2 linked regions of the Cricetulus griseus genome follow. The protein of the gene in region 1 purifies or fractionates together with the protein of each later gene. This does not show direct contact. Links are inferred from orthologs where the notes say so. Each region holds a gene or a part of one and is shown in the gene's direction. Other genes may lie near its edges.

What was found.
Region 2: the proteins of Dtx3 (region 1) and Rnf114 purify together in Homo sapiens (affinity purification with mass spectrometry; 3 studies listed by BioGRID and IntAct, counting the BioPlex papers as one, with this or other methods). This does not show direct contact. The link is inferred for Cricetulus griseus from reciprocal best matches to the Homo sapiens genes DTX3 and RNF114.

What each region holds. Positions count from the first base shown.
Region 1 is NW_023276806.1:130,523,770-130,527,101, forward strand, and holds the end of Dtx3 (probable E3 ubiquitin-protein ligase DTX3), read left to right. Parts: coding exon 1-663; intron 664-1,593; coding exon 1,594-2,061; 3' UTR 2,062-2,137; coding exon of another isoform or gene 2,138-2,213; 3' UTR 2,214-2,825; downstream 2,826-3,332. UniProt on the Homo sapiens protein: Regulator of Notch signaling, a signaling pathway involved in cell-cell communications that regulates a broad spectrum of cell-fate determinations.
Region 2 is NC_048599.1:11,903,237-11,907,051, reverse strand, and holds part of Rnf114 (E3 ubiquitin-protein ligase RNF114), read left to right. Parts: intron 1-1,400; coding exon 1,401-1,551; intron 1,552-3,815. UniProt on the Homo sapiens protein: E3 ubiquitin-protein ligase that promotes the ubiquitination of various substrates. In turn, participates in the regulation of many biological processes including cell cycle, apoptosis, osteoclastogenesis as well as innate or adaptive immunity.

The sequences.
Region 1 (3,332 bases):
AGCAAGGAGACCCCAGCCCGGCTGGCCCGGCTTCGGGAGGAGCACCGAGTGTCCATCCTCATAGATGGGGAGACTTCTGACATCTACGTGCTCCAGCTCTCCCCACAGGGTCCTCCCCCAGCCCCTCCCAATGGGCTCTACCTGGCCCGCAAGGCTCTCAAGGGGTTACTGAAAGAGGCTGAGAAGGAGCTGAAGAAAGCTCAGAGGCAGGGGGAGCTCATGGGCTGCCTGGCTCTGGGGGGTGGTGGGGAGCACCCTGAGCTGCACCGCCCAGGTCCGCCTCCTCTTCGAGCAGCCCCACTCCTGCCTCCAGGGGCAAGAGGGCTCCCCCCTCCTCCTCCCCCCCTGCCCCCTCCACTTCCTCCTCGTCTGAGGGAGGAGGCTGAAGAACAGGAAAGCACCTGCCCCATCTGCCTGGGGGAGATCCAGAATGCCAAGACATTGGAGAAGTGCCGGCACTCATTCTGCGAGGGCTGCATCACACGGGCCCTGCAGGTGAAAAAAGCCTGCCCCATGTGTGGCCGATTCTATGGGCAGCTTGTGGGCAACCAGCCCCAGAACGGACGGATGCTGGTCTCCAAGGATGCCACCCTCCTGCTACCCAGCTATGAGAAGTACGGCACCATTGTCATCCAGTATGTCTTCCCGCCCGGTGTCCAGGGGGTAAGAAGAGCACAGTTCTCCCTGCCTATTAGTTCACTTTCTGACCTAAGAAAAATAGGTTATTCGGGGAGTATGTCATTAGACTTGACACAGTCTTGCTGTTTCCCAGCATGCTTTAGGAATTGGTGCTCTGGAGCTGGGGGCGGGGGCTGTCTTCTTGAGGCCCAGCTTTTTTATCACCATGACCCAAAGGCAAATGTAAAACTCAAGAATGGGGGTTAGAGTGTAGTTCAGTGGTAGAGCGCCTCTCTATAAGATGGGGACCCCTGAGTTCAATCCCTGCCCCCAAGAAAACCAAATCAAACAAGGAAAAAAAAAACCTCGAAGTCATGTCTGACAGAAAGGCTTGAACACTAGTAGCTGGACTCATGTGGCTATGACAGGCATTCTCCGTGGAGGGAAAGTCTGGAGTTGGTGACCCAGATACAGGCAGGCACACCAGGAAGGAAGGGACCTGGCCATGCCGAGCGCTGGGGTGCCACTCTGTTCCAGAGTATGAGACAATAAACGCTCGACTAGAGTTGCAGGTAAACGTCTTTCTGTTGGACAGAGTTGTGTACAGCTGGAACTGAAGGGAAGAAACGGAAGCATGGAAACACGAGGCAGTGGCAGAAGCATTAGTATTATAGGTAGAGGGAATGCCGAAAGATAAGTTTTTCTTGTTGTCGAATTTTTGCTGAGTTGTCTGGAAAGTAACCTCCATTGCTTCTGAGAGTCCATTTGTTCCCGAATTGAGACTTGAGGGATTAACAATTAAGAATTATGTCCAGAAACAGGCTTACTGCCCAGACCCCAAAGCCATCTTTTCCTGGAAGGCTGTGGGTCTGTTGGGAATGCACAAAAAGACTGGCCAGAATGACCCTCTGCTGGTGCCCAGACCTTTGAGGTGGCCAGCTGCCCTCCGCCTACTCTGTCTCTTCTTCCACTCAGGCTGAACACCCGAACCCAGGAGTTCGGTATCCTGGTACCACACGGGTGGCCTACCTCCCGGACTGCCCCGAGGGCAACAAGGTGCTGACCCTGTTCCGGAAGGCTTTTGACCAACGTCTCACCTTCACCATCGGCACGTCCATGACTACAGGGAGACCCAATGTCATCACGTGGAACGACATTCACCACAAGACCAGCTGCACAGGGGGACCCCAGCTGTGCGCCTCCTCCTCATCTGCCTCCCCTGCTCCCTCCCCTCTCTCCATTTCCACTCTGGGAGAGTCATCTACCCCCTCCGCTGGGAGTCTCCTAACTGGAGATCACCCACCTCCCTCACTCTGTTTTCATCCTAGTCCCCATGTACTCAGCTGCAACAAAACAAAAAGCCTGCAGATTCTGGCCTATCTTGGTTTTGGAGGTTCCCTCCTCATGGGAACTGGGGAGGGGTCTGAATTTGGCCTCTACTGAGTCACTCAAAATGAGGGTGGGTATTAATGAACAAGTCCACCCAGCTAACCCCGACCCCCATTTCTCTTTGCCCCAGGTTTGGGTATCCGGACCCCACCTACCTGACTAGGGTGCAAGAGGAACTGAGAGCCAAGGGTATCACAGATGACTGAAGGACACCATCCCCTTTGCCAAGGCCCCTGCTGTCCTCTTCTACTGGGATCCAACAGAAGCCTCTGTTCTCTCTTTCTCTGCCCCCACACCACCCACGAGGGGATTTGTCTGACTGGGGTGGGAGTTCAGTGGGGAAGGGGACAGTCCCTTCCCCTGCCCCCCTTTGGCCAAGTGCTCCAGTGCCCTTTGAGCCACTCCCCTCCGGCAGAGGCTGGCTTCCCAGGCTCCCCTCCCTGCATTCCCCGTGTACATATTCTCTCTGCCCCCTGCCCCTCCAGTGTCTGTGGCTTTTCCTGGTATGTACTGTGCTCCAGTCACTGAGCTGGGAAAGGATCTGGGTAGGGACGATGGAGGTCTCTTCAACTCCAGCCCCTGAATACGGTACTGGTTCACCTTGGACTGATATGAGCTGCCTCCCGCTCCCCCCCAGCCAGCTGTGTGTTAAGATAACAGTAGTCCTACCTTAACGGATCCTTTCTCTCCTGTGTCTGTCTGTCAGTCTTTCTCTCGCTCTTCTCTGCCCCTATAAGGAGCCTCCTCACCCTGTTCTGGAATTGCTGCCAGACTGTAGCTTTTAATTTAATAAAAATAAAGTAAAATATGCAACTCTATGCCACACCCGTCCTCTGTTCCTTGGACAGGGTGGAGGTGGGGAGCAGGACCCGCTGAGAAGGAGATGAGGGAATGGGAATCCTCGCATGCCTGCACAGCCCCTTTACCTCCTGGGACCCTGGGGAACAGGATGGAACAAGTGCGGGGCGCTGCAATAACCCTGCAGAGCCCTAGGCCACACTCCGATGGATGGAATCCGGATTAAGAGGGGTTTGTTTGTTGTTCAACTCCGTTTGTGGAGAAAGGACCAACCCTACCCTTTTTGCGAAGTTTGGCTGCGGTGGGAGTCGGGGCGGAGCCGGGCAGGGGGGCGGATTCGGCGGTAGCAACTCCCCGGACGCACGCAGGCCTCAGAGCCCCCCAGTTTCCGTAGCCCCTCGGCCCTGAAACCTGAAGCAGGGTAGGGGTCCAGCATGAAGCCCCCGGACCGCCCCACCCCTGGCCGCACTGACCGGATACTGGGGGTCATGGGGGGCATGCTGCGCGCATGCGCCGTACCCGGGCAG
Region 2 (3,815 bases), on another chromosome or scaffold:
AGCAAGTTCCAGGACAGCCAGGGCTACACAGAGAAACCCTGTTCCAAAACTAAAAAGAGTGCTGTTGTCTGCAGTTCACCAGAACCAATTTCCTGAAACTTGGATTTGATGTTAGTATCTTGCTTTAAATCTTTGATCTAGCCAGGCAGTGGTGGCACACTCCTTTAATCCCAGCACTCAGGAGGCAGAGGCAGGCAGATCTCTTAGTTTGAGGCCAGCCTGGTCTACAGAGTGAGTTCCAGGAGAGCTAAGGCTGCACTGAGAAATCTTGTCTCAAACCCCCCCCAAAAAAAAAAAAAAAAACCTTTGACATGCTTTTGAGAACTTTTGCCACCCAAGTGCTGGGATTAAAGGTGTGCCCTACCACCACCTGCCAAGAAACACTTTCTAGAATTTGGTTTCCTTAGAGAATTGTCAGCCTGAGCCTCCCTCCCTCCCATATATCTTCTCTCTTTGATGTTTAACTTACCTGACTGTGAGTAAAGTTCCCTTGACACTTTTGAATTTGGGGTTGGTATTTGTTTGCTTTGTTCTTCGAGACAGGGTTCCTCTGTGTAGCTCTGACTGTCCTGGAACTTGCTATATGAACCAGGTTAACTTCAAACTCAGAAAGAGCCTCCTGCCTCTTCCTCCTGAGTTCCGGGACTGAAAAAAATTTTTTTCTTTTTTTCCTGTTTTTTGTTTTTTTTTTTTTTTTCACCAAGCATAGACTGAAAACAATTTTTAAAAAATATTTAACTTTATGTGCATTGGTGTAAGGATACCAGATCCCCTGGAACTGGAGTTACAGACAGGTGTGGGCTGCCATGTGGGTGCTGGGAATAGAACCCAGATCCTCTGGAAGAGCAGCCACTGCTCTTAACCACTCTCTAGCCCCCAGTTGTGATCTTTTAAGGCCGACCCAGAGGCTGCTTCTGAGGTCTGACCAGCCCTGTACTTGGGTTGTAATTAGCTCCACTGTGTGTGTTCCCATGCTTTGCTTTCACCTCTGAATTCTACTTCCTGTTTGACACATGCTGGATACCCAGTTAAGTGTTTGCTATTCATGGCCCATTCTCCAGCAGTCCTCCAGGTGGGTATGACATCTTCCTTTCACACAGAAGAAAACCGGGTCAGGAAACCCCACCAAGACTCCCTAGTGACAGGAACTAAGCTTTGAAGGCCCAAGCATGCCTTTCTCCACATAGTGGAGTGTTTGAGTGTGTGTGTGTTCTCCATAGTGTCCCCAGTGCCAGCTACAGTTTTCTTCTGTCCTGAAAGCGATTAGTATTTTATTTGAGTAAGAGTAGGAACACTAGACTGTTCAAATCCATTATTCATTGGTGTCTTTTAAAGAGGTGACCCACTTTTGTTGTCTTGTCTCTTTGCATGACAGAGGTTCTCTGTATGTCTTGTTCTAGCTTTTGCTCTGCATGCCTGCAGGAATGTCTGAAGCCGAAGAAACCTGTCTGTGGGGTGTGTCGCAGCGCTCTGGCACCTGGCGTCCGAGCTGTGGAGCTCGAGCGACAGATCGAGAGCACAGAGACTTCTTGCCATGGCTGCCGTAAGAATGTATGTGGACATAACATGGAGAGTCCTTGTCTTTCAGTGATGAGATGGTAAAACAGTGCAAGTGTCTGAAGTTAGAGCCTGGAGTAGTGATAAGAGCACAAGTGCATGCCTGCTGTTTGTGGTGGCTGTGCTGCTGGGGTTTTATTTTTTCCACAAGCTTGCTGGGGTTTTTTGTTTGCTTGTTTGTTTTTTTCATGAGTTGGTTTAGTGATTTATAGATTTTACCTTTGAAATCCATAGAAATAAGCTTCCACCCCCATAAAAGACCCATCTTCAGTTGGGGAGTGGTACATACCTCTACTCTAAGCACTTGGGGACAGAGGCAGCAAAGCTAGGAGTCCTGAAACATCCTAGGTTACCGAAGACCTACCTCAAAGTGTTAACTCTCGTGTGCTTTCTATTTTAATTAGAATATAAGGGTATTTCATGATTTTTAAAAATGTATATAAAATGAAGTTAGTGTCTCAAAACACCTGAGGCTAGGGGTGTAGTTCAGTAGAGTGCTTGCCTAGCATGCAAAAAGCCCTGGTTTCTATCCCAGCACTCTGTGTGGTAACGGGAAGATCCAAAATTCAGGGCCAACCTAGTATACATGACTGTTTCAAAACAAGAAAAGAAAAATCTGCACTGAGCTCAAAGGAAAGCTTTCGTAACCTGTCTCTGGACTCATAAATTCACTGGTTCTGTTTTAAGCCTTGAAAGACCCTGAGTTAGGGGTGTGAGGTGGAGAGTGCACTAGTAGTGTCTACCTACCAGTGGGCTGTGCCCGTGCCTGTGGTGTGCTTGCTTGCACAGCTCACTGCTGCTGGGAGCACAGATAACTGGTACTTTATCTTCCTTATTGATTTTAAGTCATTACAGTTTTATATTCCAGACAGTAAAAAAAATAAATAAAACACCACTGTTTGTTCCTCCATCAATCCCTCTTTGAAAGGTGGATCAGTTGGCTGTATGGTATTGCACACTGGTGACCCTGGCACCCAGGCTGAGGCCAAAGGATAGTTTTGCATTTAAAAAGCTGTTCAGCACTTTATACCTTTAGGTGTAAATGTGTACAAACACAGTGAGGGCACACACCCCTGCTACTTAAATTCTTTCTTTCTTTTTTTTTTTTTTTTTTAAGATTTATTATATATACATCATCCTGCCTCCACGTATGCCTGCACACCAGAAGAGGGCACCAGATCTCATTACAGATGGTTGTGAGTCACCATTTGGTTGCTGGGAATTGAACTCAGGACCTCTGGAAGAGCAGCCAGAGCTCTTAACCTCTGAGCTATCTCTCCAGCCCTCTTTCAACTTTATATTTGAAATTTTTGTTTTACTTCTTAGATAGCTTTGTACTTCGTCATCTTTGTTTTGCTTTTTTAGACAAGGTCTCATCATCTGGCTAGCTCAGACCTTGCTATGTAGACCAGACTGAACTTGAACTCAGAGTTCCATCTGCCTCTGCCTCTCAAGAGCTGCAGCATTAATAGGCATGAGTTACCACAGCCAGCTGAGTCTCATTATCTCTTTATTTCCACAGTCTCAATGCTACCACTGGCTGGCTTGTTTGGTTTGTTGGGAGTTTTGCTTTTGTTCTTTTGAGACAAGGTTTCTCTGTGTAGTTCTGATTGTCCTCAAGCTCTATATGTAGATGAGGCTGACCTGAGACTCAGTGAAGACCCACCTGCCTTTGCCTCCAGAGTGCTGGGATTAAATACTTATACCACCATGCCCAGGTTGGTGGGTGGTTGGTTGGATTTTTTTTTTTTCTTTCGTTAAAAAAAGGTTGGCCTTAAACTGATCTTCTGCCTCCATCTCTGAAGTGTTGAGATTACAAATGTGAGCAGTCATGCCTAGCAAGCTTCTTTCTCTCCTCCCTTTTATTTACTTAAGATTTATTTACTTCTATGTATATTGGTGTTCTGCCTCCATTTATGTCTGTATGAAGGTACCAGATCCCCTGAAACTGGAGCTATGACAGTTATGAGCTGCCATGTGGGTGCTGGGAATTGAACCTGGGTCCTCTGAAAGAGCAGCCGGAGGCCTTAACCATTGAACCATCTCTATAGCTCTTTGTTCTTTTACCCAGGGTCTCTTGCACCCTCAACTGGTCTCAGACTCATTTTGTCTAGGAATAACCTTGAACTCTGAACTTTGAGCATTGCAGTGTAGATGACCGTCGAATGGATGTATCTTTTCCCCTCCGTATTTCCAGAGGGGTTTAGTATTGGATGCACTGTGAGACTCTTACAGTGTCTATACAAGCCCATTACAAC